Saccharomyces cerevisiae S288C: one gene and its partners. Changing the gene in region 3 together with the main gene of any one other region gives a genetic interaction. Each region holds a gene or a part of one and is shown on either strand. Other genes may lie near its edges.

Region 1 (7,612 bases), on a different chromosome or scaffold from region 3:
TCCTTGGGCGCCTTTACTTGTAGACATTATCCTGGTCTTTATAACCCAGATAGGGTTTGTTAGGATAGCTGTCATCAACCCACTGGAAGCACCGGCAGACAAATAAATAAGCGAATTCATTTTGTGGTCGTTCCCAACACCTTTAAGCTGTGTTTCCCCTGGCTTTGCCACTGACTTGTATATCAATTCTTTCGTGACACCATATAAACCGAAATAAACTCCCCATGCAATGGCATTTCCAAACAAATTTATGCTTAATCCGCGATACAGTTCGTTCGTAACACTACGTCCACTATTCGCCGACGAACGTATAATCTCTTTGATTACCATAAATGGGCCGTAATGGGCCTTTTGTGCGCTTGTAGCGGATAATTGCAAACGAACCTTCAGTAAATCTAATGGATGCACTACCAATGTGGTGACGGATCCCGCGGACAGACCTGAGATAACCTCCTTCTGCAGTGGCGTCCACTGGTGATCGACCATATTATCAAGAGCTTCCTGCTGCGTGCTGGTTTTGCAAAGTACAAAGACAAGATATTGTACATATTCCTATGAAAGCTACTGCTCTTCACGTACTCCTTCACTTTTTTTTTTTCAGTTTAAGTTTTCCAATTTTTTTGTAAGATGAACCTTTCAGCAAATCTGTTAAGAGTCAATTTCCTCGGTAAGAAATATAAAATATAAATGAATATAGATTATAAAACAGACTGTACTTAAACAGCCCCCGTCAATACGATAACGCAGTAAAATAAATGCTCATCATGATAAATCCAACAAAAAAATAAACGGAAGGAAACTGAAAAGAAAAAAAAAGGAAACGAAGAAAAACATAATTTATCGTTTGATAGCAGTAAGTCGCAGATCAAGTCGCGCCTGTATCCTTACAAACATGACGACATTGAGCTGTACAAAGCTATGACCAACCGTTCCATAATTAACTCTTTTCAACACATTGAAAATAAGACTTCCCCCATCGAAGCATCAAGTTCTTGCATGTCACAAGATACTTGATCGTAACCTCCTGAAGGTCCCTTTCAGAAACACATGGAGTGTAGTTTACTAGGAAGGAAGAAGAGACATCGAAAACTTTTTCACTTTATATAGGTGAGAAAAATGGTGCAAGAGAGCATGACCGTGTATGGTGACATATAAATGGTTGTTGGCAGCGAATTTAACAACACTGCAGATGTAGATGTCGTAGCTATCCTTCTCACGTTGTTGAATGCTGACTATTTTGTTATTAAGCAACGCCTTGTTAGTGCTTGTTTTACAAAGCGTATTAAATGGTATTTTATTTATGCTATCGCTTTATTATCTTTATTTTCATCACGTAACACGGTGTGTGCGCCATATTAATGTTGCAACAGTCGTGAGGTGATTAACAAACAGTATCAGACTAAACTCACCCTTTGGTGATATGCAATTTCTTGAGGCGCAAAAGGTTGATCCTGAAAGCTTTTGTGATAGACTACCTTCAAGCAAAGCGAACGTAAACGGCAAAGATGGATACCAGCAACCACAACCAAGACCACGACTCCCACGTGGCGGCACAGAGGGAGAACGACAATAATTATATGCCACCTTCCCCCTCCATGAGCGAGAGTTCTATGATTTTTGAAAGAAATGTAGAGGACCCATCATACCTTTATAAAACGGTGTCAAACAACGCTGCAAACTCTCTCTCTAGGCAGAGCAGCAGGACCAGTTTGTTCAATCATAATAATTCTAGTAATAGGAACTTCCATAACTTAAGCCAGAGATCGTCTGCTGTGAATCTACATTTGCAACCTTCTAGGACTAATGAGTCAATAGCATCGTACCAGACATACAATCCGGATTTTGTTGTGCAGACTCCACTGGATCACCGTCGTACCTTAGAGAATTTCGTCCCTCCTGCATTAGACGCTGGCTGTTCTATTGTAACTGACGACACGACTGGCCTTGATGACGTTGATATGGTTTATTCGAGAAGGCCATCTACCATCGGCCTGGATAGAGCCCTAGGTAGGACAAGAAGTCTTTCGTCACAATCTTTTGATAACGAAACGTCGCCTGCGCATCCAAGATCTCCCAACGACCATGGTTCAAGACTACTAAGGTTTTATTCCTACGCTGACATGTTGTCCGATGACAACAATAACAACGTTAGTAATGCGACATCAACATCATCAACTGCGAACCCCTTGAGAAGACCCCCAATGCAAGGTCACTACTCGTTCTCGTCGTCCCTTTTGAATTCTCCTTCTCATTTGCCTTCCCCCCCATCAGCTTCGGCATCACCACCTCAGCATATGAACTTCACCAACCCTTTCATCATATCTAGACGTTACTCTAACACAACGATCAACAATGCCAATGGGGGAACCAGCGCTGGAAGCACTACGGGGGCCGCACTATCAAGATCGCCATCGAACCAACAGTACTTACTTAAACAACAAAGGTCACCTTCAGGGAGCGCCCGTTCAAGAAGAAACAGCAATAGGCCCGGCAGTGCTGCCAACATTATGATCGGGAAACCTAAATCCAAATTCCATATGGAATCCAGTGGCAGTGAAGGGTTTTCTTCCGAAGAGGAGGACAACACTATGATTGAAAGAGATAAACTCAATCTAAAGCAAAAATTGCAGTCACAACTGGCACAACCACCATCAATTGCCAACATGGTTAACGATAATCACAATAATACTAATAAACACAAGAATACTATTAATAATAACATCAAAAATAGCCCTGCGTTCACAAACTCGAATCCAAGTTCAAAATCAAATTCAAACTCTACAATAACCTCTATGAATCCAGACACAACCAAATAAAGAAAACTGAAGGGCCGCGATTGTTCATTTCTTCAACCTTCTTCTCCTACTCTAAAAATTCATTTAAGTCTCTTTTTTCCATATATATAGATATATAACGGTATTTTATGTATGCACGTATACCCCAATAATGCCACTAATTTACTCCGTTTTCCAATCCATAATCAGCAAAGACCATATGTGATTTCAAATATAAAAAATGAGAAACATGTGAATATGTATATATGTTATGCGGGAACCAACCCTTTACAATTAGCTATCTAACTAGTCCTTTTTCGAGCTCCAGAATTTACCATCACCCTTATCATTCCATTCTTTGAATTTGTTCTTGGCTTCATCGTACTTTTTCAACGCTTCATCGTACTTCTTTTGGGCCTCATCTTTTAAAGCCTGCTTGTCATTGTCGACCTTGGAAGTCCATCCAGACCACCAGTGGCTGCCGTACTGTTTCAAGTCCTCCTTCGCCTTAGATAACGAGTCCATGGCATCGGACACGTTCTTATCCAGTTGTTTCTTTGAATTCTCATAATTCCATCTTAAATCGTCCATTTCGTCCTTGGAAAGTTGAGCGGCTGTTTCACCCCATCCTTCTAAACCTCTGGCTACCCGTTCAGCAATCTGTTGCTCGCTTTGCTCCCCTTTGTTGTAACCAAACCAGCCCTTTTCCTTGATCTTCTTCAGCTCGTCAAGACGTTTTTGCGCCTCGCTTGGCTCTGAAGAAGCATTTCTCTTGGCTTCCTCCAACTCTTCTCTACCAAACTCCTGTGCCGTATCACCCCAGCCTTGGACACTTCTTGCAGCGGCTTCTTCAGTATTAGCGTCACCCGTGTTATTCTTCAACAGGCGTTTCAAAGGATTACTGTTCCTTTCCTGTTGGTCTAGCTTGTCCGAAAGCTCATTAAAGTCTCTGGCTCTCCCGTACCTTTCGTACTCAATGGATGCTCTGTCCAGAGCGGCCTTCTTCTCTCTCATCACCGTGGACAAGAGCTCCTTCTCATTACGATCCACTGCCTCTTCGAAACGCTTCTTAGCAGTATCAAATTCCCCGATGGCTATGGCTTTCCTTCTTTCAGCCTCACTAAACCCCCAATTGAAGATGCTTTGCGAGGAAGAATCCTTGGCTTTTTGGCCTAGCTGCTTGCGTGTCTGAGCATCCTCTTCCGGTGATATCACACGCTTAGTTACCTTTGGAGCCTCTTCCCTAGCCTTTTGAGATACGCCCAGAAGCGCGTCTTTTAACGACAAGGCATCTTCCTTTATGCCTTGCTTTATGTTATGTAGCTTTCCCAACTGTGGGGGTGCTGAACTGCCGTACTCCTGGCCGTTGTAGTAAGCGGAGACGTTGCCCTCTCTTCTCTGACCCTTGGCCTTCTGTTCTCTGACCATGATGCTAGCTGTGATGGCAGCTGCCAATGCTGCACTGCCGACAATTATTCTTGATGACATCCTTATCTGCTTGTTTTATTAAATGATTAACGTTACTGGCCAATCAAAAATACCCTTTATTTCAAGAAAGGGCAAAGAAGCAGGACTTTAGCAAGAACCGTTTCCCCTTATATATACTCCTCTTCAAGGAACTCGACAAAATAAGGGTCAACAAACTCCTCCCTTAACCCACACGGGCCACCGGCGAGCTTGTGCTCCTGCGAATAGCAGTACACTATTGGTTGTTGCAAATCCTGACGATTCACTTTCAAACACCATGCAGGCAGGAGAGTCAAACAAGACTGTTTGCTGTGTTATTGTCACCGCTGATGGTTGTGATGACCACCGCTTACCTATGACGAGGGGCAACGTCTTCACATTTCATGTTTACCACCAATATGCCAATTATTTTAAGAAATCTGCATAACAGAAGGACGCCAGCTGGCCATAGCATTTATAGATTCCTGCATTAATGTAACCGTCCGCACACCGTATGTATCAGCTTGTCAATTATTATATGAAATGTATATATATTTACGAACTTCAATTTTGTCAACATATTTCTGGAACAAGACTGGCTGGAACGGCTCAGCACACACAGGACAGAATATCAAAATTCTCGAGTACTTTGAGAACCCCCTTCAAGTGAGGTACCACCCTTGGTTGTAGTCTTGTATATTAATCCTTCTTTTCTTTAGTATAAATCGATCCTTTCTATTATACAATTCGCCGGTAATTTTTCAGTGAAAAACGAGTTTTGCAGTCAAACCATTCCTGGATGTGCTATACAAAAAAAAGGTCCGAAGACGTGTAAAGGATATATAACGCCAGGTTGATCATCACTAACCATCATGTCTGATAATTTGTTATCTTTAGAGAATCCGGTGGTGCCTAGTCACTATGAGTTGCGTCTAGAAATTGACCCTAAGCAGTCGTCGCCCAATTTCAAAGGATCCGCCATAATCCATTTGAAATTCAATCCGAACTCCACCACCTTAGCTTCTATCGAAGACAGTTTTACCCAGTTCAAGTTACATTCCAAGGATTTGATTGTGTTGTCTGCACATGCCACCATAGGGTCTACTAAGTTTGATCTAAAAATTTCTCAGGACACTGGAAAGCATTTGTCGATTTTCAACTCTGAATCTCCTATTCAATTGTCCAACGATTGCCCTCTGATTTTGTCCGTGCAATACGTGGGTAAAATTCGTGACATAAAAACACATCATGATAAGACTTTTGGTATTTTCAAAACCAATTTTATGGATCGTAAAACCGGTACTGCCAATAATCACGTCGTTGCTACTCACTGCCAACCGTTTTCCGCTAGCAATATTTTCCCATGTATTGACGAGCCTTCAAACAAGTCCACTTTTCAATTGAACATTGCAACGGATGCACAATATAAAGCCGTTTCCAATACTCCTGTAGAGATGGTCGAAGCTTTGGATAGTTCTCAAAAACATTTGGTGAAATTTGCCAAGACACCTTTGATGACTACTTCCGTATTTGGTTTTTCTATTGGTGATTTAGAATTTTTGAAAACGGAAATCAAGTTGGAAGGTGATAGGACTATTCCCGTTTCAATTTATGCACCTTGGGATATTGCTAATGCAGCTTTCACTTTAGATACAGTCCAGAAATATCTACCTTTGTTGGAATCCTATTTTAAATGTCCATACCCTCTGCCAAAGTTAGATTTCGTCCTACTACCATATTTAAGTGACATGGCAATGGAGAACTTTGGTATGATCACCATCCAACTAAACCACCTGCTCATACCACCAAATGCCTTGGCCAATGAAACCGTCAGAGAGCAAGCACAGCAACTCATTGTCCACGAACTCGTTCATCAATGGATGGGCAACTACATATCTTTTGACTCGTGGGAATCTCTTTGGTTTAATGAGTCTTTCGCTACTTGGTTAGCTTGCCACATACTAGAACAGAATGGTGACCTATCCCATTATTGGACCTCGGAACCTTATTTACTACAGCAAGTGGAGCCGACCATGTGCAGAGATGCAGCTGACGTTAATGGAAGAAGCATATTTCAGATTGCGCAACGGAACACTGGCATAGATTCTCAAACCTCCGATATTTTTGATCCTGAGGCATACACAAAGGGTATTATCATGCTGAGGTCCCTGCAATTGGCTACAGGCGAATCTCATCTACAAAAGGGCCTGGAAAGTGTATTTGAAGATACTAAAACATTTCATGCGAGAAGCGTCAAACCAATGGATATATGGAATCATATCGGAAAATTTTTGAAGTCTCAAAATATTACAAACTTTGTTTCATCTTGGACAAGAACGCCAGGCTTACCTGTCGTTAAGGTCGAAGTAGAAGAGAAAGACGGGAAAACGCAAACAAAATTGACTCAACACAGATTTATCAATCAATTATCTACTGAAGAAAAGGATCAGTTAGAAGATGTCCCATATCAGGTACCCTTATTCGGGGTTCTGCCAGATGGTAAAATGGATACTAAAAATGTACTATTGACGGATAGGACCTTAAAGTTCGATTATCCTATCTTAGTAATTAACCATTTAGCCCAAGGTTATTACCGCGTTTCATATGAGTCCGAAGAGTGCTATGCATTGATTAATGATAAAATAACTGAGGAGACGTTATCCGAGATTGACCTTCGGAAGATTTTCTTAGACTTGTCGCAGTTTATTGGAGATGAGGGTTTCCAGAATTCTATTCATTTGCACGGTCTCTTTAAGATACTAAACCATATCGCTTCTCCTTCCACAAAGATTGCATCAAAATATTGGGATCCTCTTTCCAAGGGGTTGGAAGTTCTGCAAACGATCGATCGTGCCAGTTTAACGAGCTCTAAATTACAATCTTTCTTAAAGAAAAAAATTGTCATTCCCCTTTTCAATAAGATTGATTGGCCCCACGGTGAATTTGATAAAAGCACAAACCCTCACGAGTTGAAAGTCATGTCTCAAGTCTTGTTTTTAAATAAAAACTCCGCAAAATGTGCTGAATTGTGTCAAATTTATTTTAAACATCTATTACAGGGCCCACGTTCGAGCGTACCGTTAGAATTAGTGAACTCAATCCTTGTCGTCGTATCGCAACATTGTGCAAACATCAAGCAGTGGAAGAAAATATTCGATTTGGTGAAACGCAGTTCCTGTACTGGTATCACAAACCATGTCATTAATATGTATGACCAAAACAGTAGCGAAACCGCCATGTTGATTCAAAACGGTGCAATAGAATCTCTTGGATTCTGTTTAGATTCTGATATCGTGAAAAAAACTTTGAATTTTATCACTTCCAATATTGAGTCAGAGGGGATGGAACTGGCATTATTCGGATTTAATTACAACTTTAAGAAGAGGCTGAAC
Region 2 (7,292 bases), on a different chromosome or scaffold from region 3:
CTCCAAAATTTCTAATTCAAGTGATCGGATAGAGGCTTCGTCATTAGAATTTAACGTTCCATCTCAGAAACCTTTGAATTGCAAGCCATTAACTCCGTCTCAGAAATACAGACTTCGTAAAGAGCAATCGGAGATGAATTTAAGAAATACAATCAAAAGAAAAGAGAAATTTTATGATAGTCAAGAACAAATTCTTGAGTTACAAGAGGGAGACGTTGATGATTCGTTGATTTGGAACGTTCCTATGGCATCATTATCTACTAATTCATTTCTAGCGTCTGCTAAGCCCGATGATATGAATAACTTGGCTGGCAAGAATGACTTATCAGAATATACCGGAGGTTTGGTAAATGATAACTCTGAAATTTCTTATACAAAACAAAATCATAGGTACTCGAACATCTCTTTTGCGAGTACAACATCAAACGCCTCATTATTGGACTTTAATGAGATGCCTACGTCTCCGATTCCAGGTTTGAACAAAGTAACTGATTTTCAGTTCATTCAAGACACAACCAAGAGTCTAGCCTCTGTTTATTTGCATTCTTCCAATAGGCTTTCAAGATCTAAGCTGTCCGAAAGAACAAAGTCTTCCGATTTCTTGCCAATTGAACTAAAAGAAGCTCAAAATCAAGGCATGGAAGATTTGATACTTGTCTCGGAGAACAAACTAGATGTGGTCAGCCATTCAAGACCGAGTTGGTTACCACCCAAGGATCGCCAGGAAAAAAAGCTTCATGAAAGGCAAATTAACAAAAGCATGAGTGTTGCTTCCCTTGACCAACTAGGAAAAAATAAAGACAGAGAAGAAAAGTTGATTAGAGATGAAACAAATAGGCAAAAATATGTGTTATTATTGGACAGAGATATAACTAGAAACTCCTCCTTACAAAGCCTAAGTAAAATGGTTTGGGACACTCCATTTAGTGACGAAACTAGGTCAACAATTTACAGCGAAATTTTACAGAGCAAGACTAGGTTTATTACCAAAAACTATATTCAACCATTTCATGAGCTACAGGAGCTTTTAACAAAAATGGGAGACTTTCCTAAAAACAAGGAAATTGAAATATCGCAGCTAATCGAAACAAGTTTGAGGCGAAAAGTGAGCGGTTTACATGATATATGTCCTGATTTGATGCTTTTATTGAAGATAAAATCTATCTCATCACAGGGTATAGTCACCGGTGATGAACTCCTTTTCCATCATTTCTTGGTGAGTGAATCATTTCAGAACCTGGGGCTAAACGAGATTTGGAATATTGTTAATTTAGTACAAATGACGTGTTTTAATGATCTTTGTAAAGAAAAGTTCGATGCAAAGGTTTTAGAACGTAAGGGTGTCGTAGCCGGTTATTTATCGCAAAACGAGGAGTTCAAGGATGAATTTAATACGGAGTGTATAAACTCTACCACCTGGTGGAACATCCTAGAACGTATTGATCATAAGCTTTTTATGTGGATCATGGATATTATAGTAGTCAACAATTCCCAGAGCTACAAAAATAGCCCAATCAACGAAGATGAGTTTGTTAACAAGGATTGGGAATATTACCGCTCGAAGAAAGTGGTAATAAACTACAAGATCTTGATTTCATTTGCATTAAATGTATTGTTAAATTACCACTTTGGATTCACTGATTTAAGAAGTCTTTGTAACGTGAATGACCAGAGATTTTGCATTCCAGTATTCATCAATGATGAATTCGTAGACGCAGATACTGTAAATGCCGTGTTCATCAAGAAATGGGCGCATTACTACAAGAAGTTTTGATATTTTTTGTAACTGTAATTTCACTCATGCACAAGAAAAAAAAAACTGGATTAAAAGGGAGCCCAAGGAAAACTCCTCAGCATATATTTAGAAGTCTCCTCAGCATATAGTTGTTTGTTTTCTTTACACATTCACTGTTTAATAAAACTTTTATAATATTTCATTATCGGAACTCTAGATTCTATACTTGTTTCCCAATTGTTGCTGGTAGTAAACGTATACGTCATAAAAGGGAAAAGCCACATGCGGAAGAATTTTATGGAAAAAAAAAAAACCTCGAAGTTACTACTTCTAGGGGGCCTATCAAGTAAATTACTCCTGGTACACTGAAGTATATAAGGGATATAGAAGCAAATAGTTGTCAGTGCAATCCTTCAAGACGATTGGGAAAATACTGTAATATAAATCGTAAAGGAAAATTGGAAATTTTTTAAAGATGTCTTCACTGGTTACTCTTAATAACGGTCTGAAAATGCCCCTAGTCGGCTTAGGGTGCTGGAAAATTGACAAAAAAGTCTGTGCGAATCAAATTTATGAAGCTATCAAATTAGGCTACCGTTTATTCGATGGTGCTTGCGACTACGGCAACGAAAAGGAAGTTGGTGAAGGTATCAGGAAAGCCATCTCCGAAGGTCTTGTTTCTAGAAAGGATATATTTGTTGTTTCAAAGTTATGGAACAATTTTCACCATCCTGATCATGTAAAATTAGCTTTAAAGAAGACCTTAAGCGATATGGGACTTGATTATTTAGACCTGTATTATATTCACTTCCCAATCGCCTTCAAATATGTTCCATTTGAAGAGAAATACCCTCCAGGATTCTATACGGGCGCAGATGACGAGAAGAAAGGTCACATCACCGAAGCACATGTACCAATCATAGATACGTACCGGGCTCTGGAAGAATGTGTTGATGAAGGCTTGATTAAGTCTATTGGTGTTTCCAACTTTCAGGGAAGCTTGATTCAAGATTTATTACGTGGTTGTAGAATCAAGCCCGTGGCTTTGCAAATTGAACACCATCCTTATTTGACTCAAGAACACCTAGTTGAGTTTTGTAAATTACACGATATCCAAGTAGTTGCTTACTCCTCCTTCGGTCCTCAATCATTCATTGAGATGGACTTACAGTTGGCAAAAACCACGCCAACTCTGTTCGAGAATGATGTAATCAAGAAGGTCTCACAAAACCATCCAGGCAGTACCACTTCCCAAGTATTGCTTAGATGGGCAACTCAGAGAGGCATTGCCGTCATTCCAAAATCTTCCAAGAAGGAAAGGTTACTTGGCAACCTAGAAATCGAAAAAAAGTTCACTTTAACGGAGCAAGAATTGAAGGATATTTCTGCACTAAATGCCAACATCAGATTTAATGATCCATGGACCTGGTTGGATGGTAAATTCCCCACTTTTGCCTGATCCAGCCAGTAAAATCCATACTCAACGACGATATGAACAAATTTCCCTCATTCCGATGCTGTATATGTGTATAAATTTTTACATGCTCTTCTGTTTAGACACAGAACAGCTTTAAATAAAATGTTGGATATACTTTTTCTGCCTGTGGTGTCATCCACGCTTTTAATTCATCTCTTGTATGGTTGACAATTTGGCTATTTTTTAACAGAACCCAACGGTAATTGAAATTAAAAGGGAAACGAGTGGGGGCGATGAGTGAGTGATACTAAAATAGACACCAAGAGAGCAAAGCGGTCCCAAAATCATTTGAGTAACCGGATATCTATCGGGATATTAATAGCAGCTTCCATTTCAACTAAAACAACAGCAAGATATGAGCGACAAGATATCCTTTCTACCTCCCGAACCCATCCAACTACTTGACGAAGACTCCACGGAGCCTGAACTCGACATTGACTCACAACAAGAAAATGAGGGACCCATCAGTGCGTCAAACAGCAATGATAGCACTAGCCATAGTAATGATTGCGGTGCCACAATTACCAGAACAAGACCTAGACGAAGCAGTTCTATCAATGCAAACTTTAGTTTTCAAAAGGCTCATGTCAGCGATTGCACCATAGTCAATGGCGACCATGGAACAAAGTTTGCTGTCTGGAGAATTACCGTATTTCTTGAACCCAACTTGAAGGCTTTTGCGGCCAAGAGGGAAAGCTATAAAATCCAAACCTATAAACGATACTCCGATTTCGTCAGATTACGAGAGAATTTGCTCACAAGAATCAAGACAGCGAAACCTGAGAAACTTAACTGTTTGCAGATTCCACACCTTCCCCCTTCAGTGCAGTGGTACAGTTCTTGGAAATATCAAGAAGTGAATCTGAACAAGGACTGGCTGGCAAAAAGACAGAGAGGGCTCGAGTACTTCCTCAATCACATCATCCTTAACAGCAGCCTCGTAGAAATGACCAAAGATATACTCATACAGTTTCTAGAGCCTTCAAAACGAGTTGCATAGCTCACCATCCCTATCCAACCGACTATTCTTCTCATCGACTACTACTATCCCATTTAACTCGGGCGCGTTGTTAATTAATCACTCGATGGGGAATGCCTTGAGCTGACCGCAATGAAAACTTTTAGGGGATCGTCCAACATTAAAGGAAGAACGAAACGGACTCCACAGTTTCTAATATAAATAAACAATGATAAAACATATAGTTTCGCCATTCAGGACGAATTTTGTTGGCATCAGCAAGTCCGTGCTGTCAAGGATGATTCATCACAAGGTTACAATCATAGGTTCTGGCCCCGCTGCCCACACCGCTGCTATATACTTGGCAAGAGCAGAGATGAAGCCCACATTATATGAGGGAATGATGGCCAACGGAATTGCTGCTGGTGGCCAATTGACAACAACCACCGATATCGAAAATTTCCCAGGGTTTCCTGAATCGTTGAGTGGCAGTGAACTGATGGAGAGGATGAGGAAACAATCTGCCAAGTTTGGCACTAACATAATTACCGAGACTGTCTCTAAAGTCGATTTATCTTCAAAACCATTCAGATTATGGACCGAATTTAATGAGGATGCAGAGCCTGTGACCACTGATGCTATAATCTTGGCCACGGGTGCTTCCGCTAAGAGAATGCATTTACCAGGGGAGGAAACCTACTGGCAGCAGGGAATATCTGCCTGTGCTGTATGTGATGGTGCAGTCCCTATCTTTAGAAACAAGCCATTGGCCGTTATTGGTGGTGGTGACTCTGCGTGTGAGGAAGCGGAATTTCTTACGAAGTATGCGTCGAAAGTATATATATTAGTAAGAAAGGATCATTTTCGTGCATCTGTAATAATGCAGAGACGAATTGAGAAAAATCCAAACATCATTGTTTTGTTCAACACAGTTGCATTAGAAGCTAAGGGTGATGGTAAGTTATTGAATATGTTGAGAATTAAGAATACTAAAAGTAATGTGGAGAACGATTTAGAAGTAAATGGACTATTTTACGCAATAGGTCACAGCCCTGCCACAGATATAGTTAAAGGACAAGTAGATGAAGAAGAGACGGGGTATATAAAAACTGTGCCTGGATCGTCTCTGACTTCTGTGCCAGGTTTTTTTGCTGCAGGTGACGTTCAGGACTCTAGGTATAGACAAGCAGTTACTTCTGCTGGTTCCGGATGCATTGCTGCTTTGGATGCAGAACGGTACCTAAGTGCCCAAGAGTAACGTGAAAAAACCGGTTTATTTTTGTTTTTACTGTTCGATTGTGTTACGTATTCTATGTTTTTTGAGATATATTTGAAATATTTTTATAAGATACATATATATATGTGCGTATTGCTGCGACAAAAGAAGAGACAAAGAGATAGGCGTTGAAATTGACGAGACAAAGAGGAAGACATTAATTAATCATCATTTTAAATGGGATTTTTTTACTTGCAAGCTTTTGACCTGCTCTTCTAGTTTTTTTACCTTTCCTTGAATTTCTTCCAAGTCACCGTTCAGTCTGATTCTTTCGTTAACAATGTTTTGCTCCCATTGTCTAAATCTTTGCTCCTCAGCTTTGACTTGGTCAGTGAAATACTTCTTCAATGCATTTTCTTCTTCTTTGTATCTAGGATTGTGTGACAATTTCCTTGCTGGTGCAATTGCTGGAAGAGTGAAATCTTCATTCCCCTCCCCGGTGTTCTCGTGACCCTCAAGTCTTAATCTTCTGTATGTTTCGTAATGCATTTCTTGGGTGGTAGAAATCAAATCTAATAGATAAGTCCTCAGTAACAGGGCTCTGAGCTTACGGAAATCACAATGAGAATCGTTTTCGATTTCCACAAGTCCCCAAGGATACTTCCTTGCAACTACCTGAGTGCCTTGCCCATTGTCAAATTTTTTTTCAGACCCTACTATGGCAAATGGCATTGCTTCTATCAACTGTCTTGCATGTTCAACAGCGGCAGAATCTGGATTACTGCCACTTTTGGCATCTTCCTTAGAATCAGCGTCTAATGGAGGCGTGAAAATACGAATTTCTTGAGCTTCTATTACTTGCCTGATTCTGGACTTGAACTGTTGTAATTCTTGGGCAGTCAATGTATCAGCTTTCGCAATAACTGGAATCAGATTGGCTCTGGTTGACAATCTCTTCATAGTCTCAATGTCAATTGGCTTTAAACCATGTCCAGTGGGCCTGATGAAGTACAGAACGGCATGAACTCTCAAGTCAAATTTCTTAGTACGGTACGGTTGCTGCTCTTGACGCATATAAGAATCGTGTTGATCATCAATAAAATCCACCAATGGTTGCCAGGCTTTGTTGTTATTCACGTTATCTCCAAAACCTGGGGTGTCGATGACATTAACGCGTAATTCGAAATGCTTCTCTTCCAGCAAAGCTCTTGTGATGTCGATTTCTACAGTCTTTCTGATGGGTTCTTGGCGGTGTTGCTGACCATCTGCCCTTTTCAAGACAGTCTGAAATAAGGTATTAATAAATGTAGTTTTACCCAATCCGCTCTCACCACATAACATCACGGTGAATGTACCACCTTCTTCATTAACAATTTTATAACGCTGGTTGGGAAGATTGGATATCCCTACAGGAGGAGGAACAGGGGCAGCAGTCGCAGTGGCAGCACTCATTATTTGATACAATATGTGATGTAGTTCGTTATCAATACTCTTCAGGTCAAGATCCTATATCTTGCTGCACCTTTCAAGACTTTGATCTACTCAAAACAAACAATGGTGATTTCGAAAAAAATTTCGGATTCTTCACTTTTCCAGCGCCCTGTTTTTTTTCTGTAATCACGATTGCAAAAAAAAGAGACTTACCATAGGACAATTTCCATAAACAAAACAAAGAGCAACATAACTCATAGCTGAATTGCTAATCGTGATACTGCATCATGTCCCATCCGCACTCACATAGCATATATTTGTCTGAGTTGCCCGTCAGGAAACCTCAAGCCTTGGGCAATCCTCTTTTGAGGAAGATTCAAAGAGCTTGCAGAATGTCACTTGCTGAACCAGACTTGGCGTTGAATCTTGACATTGCTGACTACATTAATGAAAAACAGGGCGCTGCCCCTAGGGA
Region 3 (7,275 bases):
TTTGCGAAGTTCTTAGAAATAGAGAAGGTAGACCTTTGGAAGAATTGCTTTTGAATGGTTTAAGGTTTGACAAAATGTCATTCAGTCATTTCAAAAATATCCTACTTACTTTCGCACAAATGAACCCTAAAAACCCTATTCGTCTCGGGATGGCTAACGTAGAATTCTCAACCGAGTGTTTTGATTTTCTCTTTAATTGGATGTCTGAATATAACGTTCAAGGTGTGGATTTGGCCTATAATAATTTAGAAAGTTTGGCAAAACGAATGATCAAAAAACTAGCTAGGCTTCCTTATAAGCATTTGGAATATTTTACCCTTAACAGCACTAATATCACCTCTGTTGATGATATGTCCTACATACTAAAATATCTTTCACGTTTGCCAAGCATAAAATTTCTAGATTTGAGCAACTTGCCTCAGTTATTCCCGGGGATTTTAACATCCGGCTATAAGTATTTTCCCCAATTTCCACAACTGAAACGTATTCATTTTGATTTCGACGATCTTTCTATAAAAGAAACAACCATGCTTGTCAGCATATTAGCTAAGTGTGAAACCCTCTCTCATGTTTCATTGATAGGACAAAGTCCTATGCCCGATGCAAGTAAAATATCCGACAGTACTGATGAACCCGATAAGTCGAAAGATGAAAAGAAAGAACAAATCGTATTTATGAGAAATACGCTTTGGGCCTCATTGTATGCATTTGTTAGGGACTCTCACAATTTAGTTAGTTTAGACGTTGACTATGATCAAGTACCAGACGAAATTCAATCAAGAATTGCGTTATGCTTAATGCATAATATGAAGAGAATTATGGACTCTAGCTTTAAATTAGATGAATTGACTGTACAAGATGATTTAATATTTGATGGTTCCTTGATAACTGAGACAGCAGAAGAAGTTTTGAAAAGATTAAATGACAAATCTTTACTTCAAAATGATGTTGGGAAGAAATATCTTTTAAAGAAATATTTTGAGAAAATGGAAAAGGTACATCATAATGTTCAAAATACAATTGATTCTATGTTTGAGAAAAGAAAATCCGGCGAACTGCCACTGCAGGAAAAGGAAAACCTACTAAGGTTATTGCTTCTTGAGAAAAATTTATCAAATATTCTTGATATTTTTGCTTCTATGCCCAATATAGCAGATGTCGTACCATTTTCAAAAGCCGATAATAGTTTCCCTAATATTGGGGATAGCACGGTTAGCGCAAACTATAATGATGGTATTCGTCCATCTCTAAAACACTTAGATTCTGACAGGTTAATCAACGATGTTTCAATTCCTGAAAACGATTCATCAATTAGACCACACTTAATGGCCACCGACTCGGGACGAATCATCGATGTGACCACTGGTAAAGCTCTTCTTTTCAAGAGTTCGTCTAATACCTCACTGGCCGGCAAGAGACAGGAAGAAGAGGAAGGTGAATTACATAAATGGGGTGTGTTTGTACAGCACCAAAGCTCAAGACATAACTCTGGGCTTCCTTCATCCGCCAATTCTTCGAGAATTAGCGGGTCGTTAACACCAGATAGCAGTGTCGCCGGAGGAAAGAAAGGGGAATCCTCTCGCACATCTGGTACAAGGCCAAAAATCTTACCAAAGATTCCTACCGGTGCCGAATTAAGGGATGCCATTATTAAAGCTAAGGGTATTGATTCTGTAGATGATCTGATTAAAAATGTTACCTCTGAAAAGGTTGGATTGGAATCATTATATGGAGATGAATTGAACTCTAGAAGCCCGAGTAATGACAGTTTACAAGAATCACAACAAAAGGCGCCTTTGCAGAGGCCCCTTGTTGAAGATGAAACAGTGACAAAAAAATATGACAAACTATTGAACGATCTGTCTAATGTTCGTCACAGTAAAACCTAAATTATTTTATGCTTCTGTCTTTCCTTTCTCTTTCGATTATTAGAAGGTGCATCTTTGTATAAATATCCCATCAATAATGTATTCTTAGGAATCTATATATGTATGTACGTTTTATGTGTATATGTATTTTACGTTTTTTCATAATCATATACTTTCTGCCGAAATTTTTTGCCTTCATTATGCACACTAATGTTATTAATCAGATAAAAATACAGAAATTTAAAATAAATACTGAGAATAATATAATTAACTGTTCGAGAATTGTCGCAAATTAATAGCTTCACACTACTCCCACAAGGATTCCTAATTCACGTGCAACAGCAACCGGATCTTTTTGAAAATGCTTTCGAATTGGTTGGGACCCAGTTTCGTAGAATCCTCTTTCATCAATCTAATCAGAGAAACGAACCCAACGAGTGTTAATAGATTGATAGCTGTGGACCATTTTTTCCTGCTAGTCATTTTTCTAACACCGAAATAACGGCAGAGCCCCGAACCTATATGATATACACCTGACTCGAGGAGAATAGCTAACGGCACCAGGCCTCCAAGCCATTTCCACCACCTGTTCTTGCTAGATAGTAATTGCTTTATAGAGGCGAAATCCACCTCAGTAGAGATGGAATTCGGCACCCATTTCATAATTAATAAGTGGTATATCAGGACGGGAACAAGGATGTATCCACTAATCACTTGTGGAGGAATGCGGAAGGTCTTATACAATCCAAATAAATAGCCAGAAATTCCACCAGTTAAACCAATCGAATCTTGGGATAGATCTTGTTCGGCCGATATCTTTAAATGTCGATGTCTATTTCTTCTTGGCTTGTTCCAGTTGTTCACGATTCGGAGCAAGACACCAGCAGAAACATGAAGAGTAATACCCGCAACTAACAGCTTGGTAGTTATGGACGGTAAAATCTCTCTCACCATCATTAAAACGTCGTCAGGAGCAGAATCAGGTGATACTGCCGGCGTGATTAATGTATTTGCTGCATGTAGTGGGAAATACAATGCCATGGGCAGTACCGAAATCTTTTGACAGTTCCAAAGGAATCTCCGACATGAACTCCTGGAAAAAGGATACGGAATGCCAAATATTTTTTTCCTCTTATCAGGATTACCATCTCCTTCGGGGCTATGTGCATTAACATCATGAGGGAGACTAGCAGGGTCTACTGGTTCTGGAGGCACTTCATGCAACTTTATCATCGTAATAAACAAAACTCTGGGCTAACTGGTATATGCCCTAGTAATTCGGGACCTGTTAGGAGCAATACAATCTACACAAGGTTTTCCTTACTTATTTTCCAATTGACGACCAACTTGCCTCACACAATTACAGAGCACGTATTCGCTCTCTAGCCACTCTTTTCAAAACAAATTTTAGTTGTGGACCTGGTTAGGATACAATCAGCGATGTCGGAAGACTGATGTAGTAGAATTGACTGGAACGCTTCTTCTATAGTCTACACGGAAGCTATACTCCCTTGAATAGATGGTAGATGTTCCGCATAAGGTTTGTCCTTTTGGTTTTTTAGCCCCGTTCGGGGTTCGAACTGCTAAGTCATATTCCGCACATATGCGTCCGCAGACTCTCATTGGATCATTCTTACCCATTCGGGTCATAATGCAAGCCTTTACCATTTATGGCACTTTGATTTCCCTTTCCATCTCACATCTTCAATTCTATTGTTTTTGAAAAAAAAAAAAAATAAAAAAAAAAAAGATTAAAGGCAATTAGTTAGCTGACGTATGGAACATCTCTGCTGTACAGCTACATTTACTTATAAGACAAGGAGCAATTAGTAGCGACGGGAGCAAGAACTAAAAAGGATAGAGGATGGCGAAAAGCAAATCCAGTCAGGGTGCGAGTGGAGCACGCCGTAAACCGGCACCTTCTTTATACCAACACATTTCTAGCTTTAAACCACAATTCAGCACAAGAGTCGACGATGTTTTACATTTTAGCAAGACACTGACATGGAGAAGTGAGATTATTCCAGACAAATCCAAGGGCACCTTGACGACTAGTCTTTTATATTCTCAAGGTAGTGATATTTACGAAATAGACACTACTTTACCATTAAAGACATTCTATGACGACGACGACGACGACGACAACGACGACGACGACGAAGAAGGTAACGGCAAGACGAAGTCTGCAGCCACCCCAAATCCAGAGTATGGTGATGCTTTCCAAGATGTTGAGGGGAAACCATTGCGCCCAAAGTGGATTTACCAGGGCGAAACAGTGGCAAAAATGCAATACTTGGAAAGCTCAGACGACAGTACGGCGATCGCGATGTCCAAGAACGGCTCTTTGGCATGGTTCAGAGATGAGATCAAGGTTCCCGTTCATATCGTACAGGAAATGATGGGCCCTGCTACTAGATACTCTAGTATTCACTCTCTAACCAGACCAGGTTCATTAGCAGTGTCAGATTTTGATGTGTCGACAAATATGGATACGGTAGTAAAGTCACAAAGTAACGGCTACGAGGAGGACAGCATCTTGAAAATCATCGACAACTCCGATAGACCGGGAGATATATTACGTACAGTGCACGTTCCAGGGACCAACGTGGCTCACTCAGTTAGATTTTTTAACAACCATTTATTTGCATCTTGTTCAGATGACAACATTTTAAGATTCTGGGACACAAGAACAGCGGACAAACCGCTTTGGACGCTAAGCGAACCGAAAAATGGACGACTAACGTCCTTCGATTCCTCTCAAGTTACTGAAAACCTATTTGTCACTGGGTTCAGCACGGGTGTCATCAAGCTATGGGATGCGCGTGCTGTGCAACTGGCTACTACTGACCTCACACATAGGCAGAACGGCGAGGAACCGATCCAAAACGAAATAGCCAAGTTGTTCCATTCTGGCGGCGATTCCGTTGTCGATATCCTGTTCTCACAAACCTCTGCAACAGAATTTGTTACGGTTGGAGGAACGGGTAATGTCTACCACTGGGACATGGAGTACTCTTTTTCAAGAAACGACGATGACAACGAAGACGAAGTTCGAGTGGCTGCTCCGGAGGAACTTCAGGGTCAATGTTTAAAATTTTTCCACACAGGTGGCACAAGAAGATCGAGCAACCAATTCGGGAAGAGGAACACTGTGGCGCTACACCCCGTAATCAATGATTTTGTTGGCACTGTTGATTCAGATAGTCTTGTTACTGCCTACAAACCATTTCTGGCCAGTGACTTCATTGGCAGAGGTTACGACGATTAAAAAAAAAAAAGAGTAAGAAATTAACGTTACCACCTATGGGAAAGGCAGTAACTCACAAGCATTCACGTACATAATTCTGTTTTTTTTTTTTTTATTCATTTCTAGCACGCTATCGGGGTTATTTTTTTTTTTGTAATATATAGTGATGGTATAATGTTGTATAGATACTGGTATCGCTCCTAATAAAGACTCTTTCAGATTTCTGAAGCCAACGAAGTAAGGCCTCAAGAAAAGAGGGTTACCAGTAATTAACCAAGCAATTTCTTTTTTTTCTTTCCAGCAAAGAAATAAGACAAAAACCGGCTATATGGAGAAGAGGGAGGATCTAATGGTGACATAGTCCATTTCAAGATTCCCTCTTTCGTTTCTCGGATGAAGCTCGATGTTTACAATTCAGAATCTTAAAAGGCTGTCGCTAAGAAAGACCCAGAGGCACATGCAAGATAGTTGTGCCTGTACCACGTGAGAAGGCGGTATTCAATATGCGGTGCTGTGCTGGCTTCCCTTTTTGGAACGCGCCGGGGTATAACAAAGAAAGGCTAAGTCATACAATAGGCAAAAGACCTTTGTCTTTCCTTTTTTTCCTCTTTCCTAACATACGGTGGTTTATGTACTATCCCTTATGTAATTGCTTAGCTATACACAGTGAGCACACATAGTGGCGCTCACTACTCCCTTTTAATTTCAACTCGTAGATAGTTGGGCTATTTTCCTTCGAATCCTCGTTTATCATCTCATATTTAAGAGTACCATTTCGGGGCTTTTTTTTACCTTTTCCTTTTCCATGCAGTCTGTCCCCTTAATGTTCTATGTTTTTTTTTTTTTTTTTTCAGTTCTGTAGCTTCCAGTATAAAGGGAGGGAAAAAAGAAGATCCGAAAAGTTTATATTCGCCTGAATTGTAGATATTAGATAAGAAAATTAATTATTAATCAACCAATCTTGAAAGATACAAATAAATTGTAACACACTATACATTACAACCAAAAATGCCAAAAAAGGTTTGGAAATCATCTACGCCTTCCACTTATGAACATATCTCCAGCTTAAGACCAAAATTTGTGTCTCGTGTGGACAATGTTCTGCACCAAAGGAAGTCCTTGACGTTCAGCAACGTTGTTGTTCCAGATAAAAAAAATAACACTCTAACCTCAAGTGTTATATACTCTCAAGGTAGTGATATCTACGAAATTGACTTCGCTGTACCACTACAAGAAGCCGCTTCAGAACCGGTGAAAGACTATGGTGACGCCTTTGAAGGTATTGAAAACACCTCGTTGAGCCCAAAATTCGTGTACCAGGGTGAAACTGTCTCCAAAATGGCCTACTTAGATAAGACTGGAGAAACTACATTATTGTCGATGTCTAAGAACGGGTCGTTGGCTTGGTTCAAAGAGGGTATAAAGGTCCCTATTCACATTGTACAGGAATTGATGGGTCCAGCAACCAGCTATGCCAGCATCCATTCTTTAACCAGACCTGGTGATCTACCTGAAAAGGATTTCTCATTAGCCATCTCTGACTTCGGCATTTCCAATGATACCGAAACCATTGTGAAGTCTCAGAGTAATGGTGATGAAGAAGACAGTATTTTGAAAATCATTGACAATGCCGGTAAGCCTGGTGAGATTCTACGTACTGTTCATGTGCCTGGTACCACTGTGACTCACACCGTAAGATTTTTCGACAATCATATCTTTGCGTCTTGTTCAGATGACAATATTCTGAGGTTCTGGGACACTAGAACTTCCGACAAGCCTATATGGGTGTTGGGAGAACCAAAGAACGGAAAATTGACCTCGTTTGATTGCTCTCAGGTTTCCAACAACTTGTTTGTTACCGGTTTCAGTACGGGTATTATCAAGTTATGGGATGCCAGAGCGGCTGAAGCTGCCACCACTGATTTGACTTATAGACAAAACGGTGAAGATCCAATTCAGAATGAAATCGCTAACTTCTATCATGCCGGCGGTGATTCTGTTGTCGACGTCCAATTTTCTGCCACTTCAAGCTCTGAATTCTTTACTGTGGGCGGCACTGGTAATATTTACCACTGGAACACTGACTATTCCTTGTCAAAGTACAATCCTGACGATACCATTGCTCCTCCTCAAGATGCCACTGAAGAATCACAAACAAAA

What was found.
Region 1: of MCP1 (region 3) and OM45, extra expression of one rescues a mutant of the other (dosage rescue), as found in Saccharomyces cerevisiae (one study listed by BioGRID).
Region 2: of MCP1 (region 3) and YPT35, changing one suppresses a phenotype caused by changing the other (phenotypic suppression), as found in Saccharomyces cerevisiae (one study listed by BioGRID).

Annotation. Positions count from the first base shown.
Region 1 is NC_001141.2:90,269-97,880, reverse strand, and holds OM45 (Om45p), read right to left. Parts: upstream 4,263-7,612; coding exon 3,081-4,262; downstream 1-3,080. Other genes in the region: flavin adenine dinucleotide transporter FLX1, read right to left, coding at 1-486; YIL134C-A (uncharacterized protein), read left to right, coding at 1,156-1,359; VHS2 (Vhs2p), read left to right, coding at 1,506-2,816; TMA108 (Tma108p), read left to right, coding at 5,093-7,612.
Region 2 is NC_001140.6:321,199-328,490, forward strand, and holds YPT35 (Ypt35p), read left to right. Parts: upstream 1-3,567; coding exon 3,568-4,212; downstream 4,213-7,292. Other genes in the region: SBE22 (Sbe22p), read left to right, coding at 1-1,774; GRE3 (trifunctional aldehyde reductase/xylose reductase/glucose 1-dehydrogenase (NADP(+))), read left to right, coding at 2,211-3,194; thioredoxin-disulfide reductase TRR2, read left to right, coding at 4,400-5,428; septin CDC12, read right to left, coding at 5,615-6,838; GGA2 (phosphatidylinositol 4-phosphate-binding protein), read left to right, coding at 7,105-7,292.
Region 3 is NC_001147.6:764,677-771,951, forward strand, and holds MCP1 (Mcp1p), read right to left. Parts: upstream 3,102-7,275; coding exon 2,193-3,101; downstream 1-2,192. Other genes in the region: HER1 (Her1p), read left to right, coding at 1-1,889; WTM2 (transcriptional modulator), read left to right, coding at 3,733-5,136; WTM1 (transcriptional modulator), read left to right, coding at 6,124-7,275. UniProt on the Saccharomyces cerevisiae protein: Recruits the lipid transfer protein Vps13 to mitochondria thereby promoting vacuole-mitochondria contacts. Involved in mitochondrial lipid homeostasis.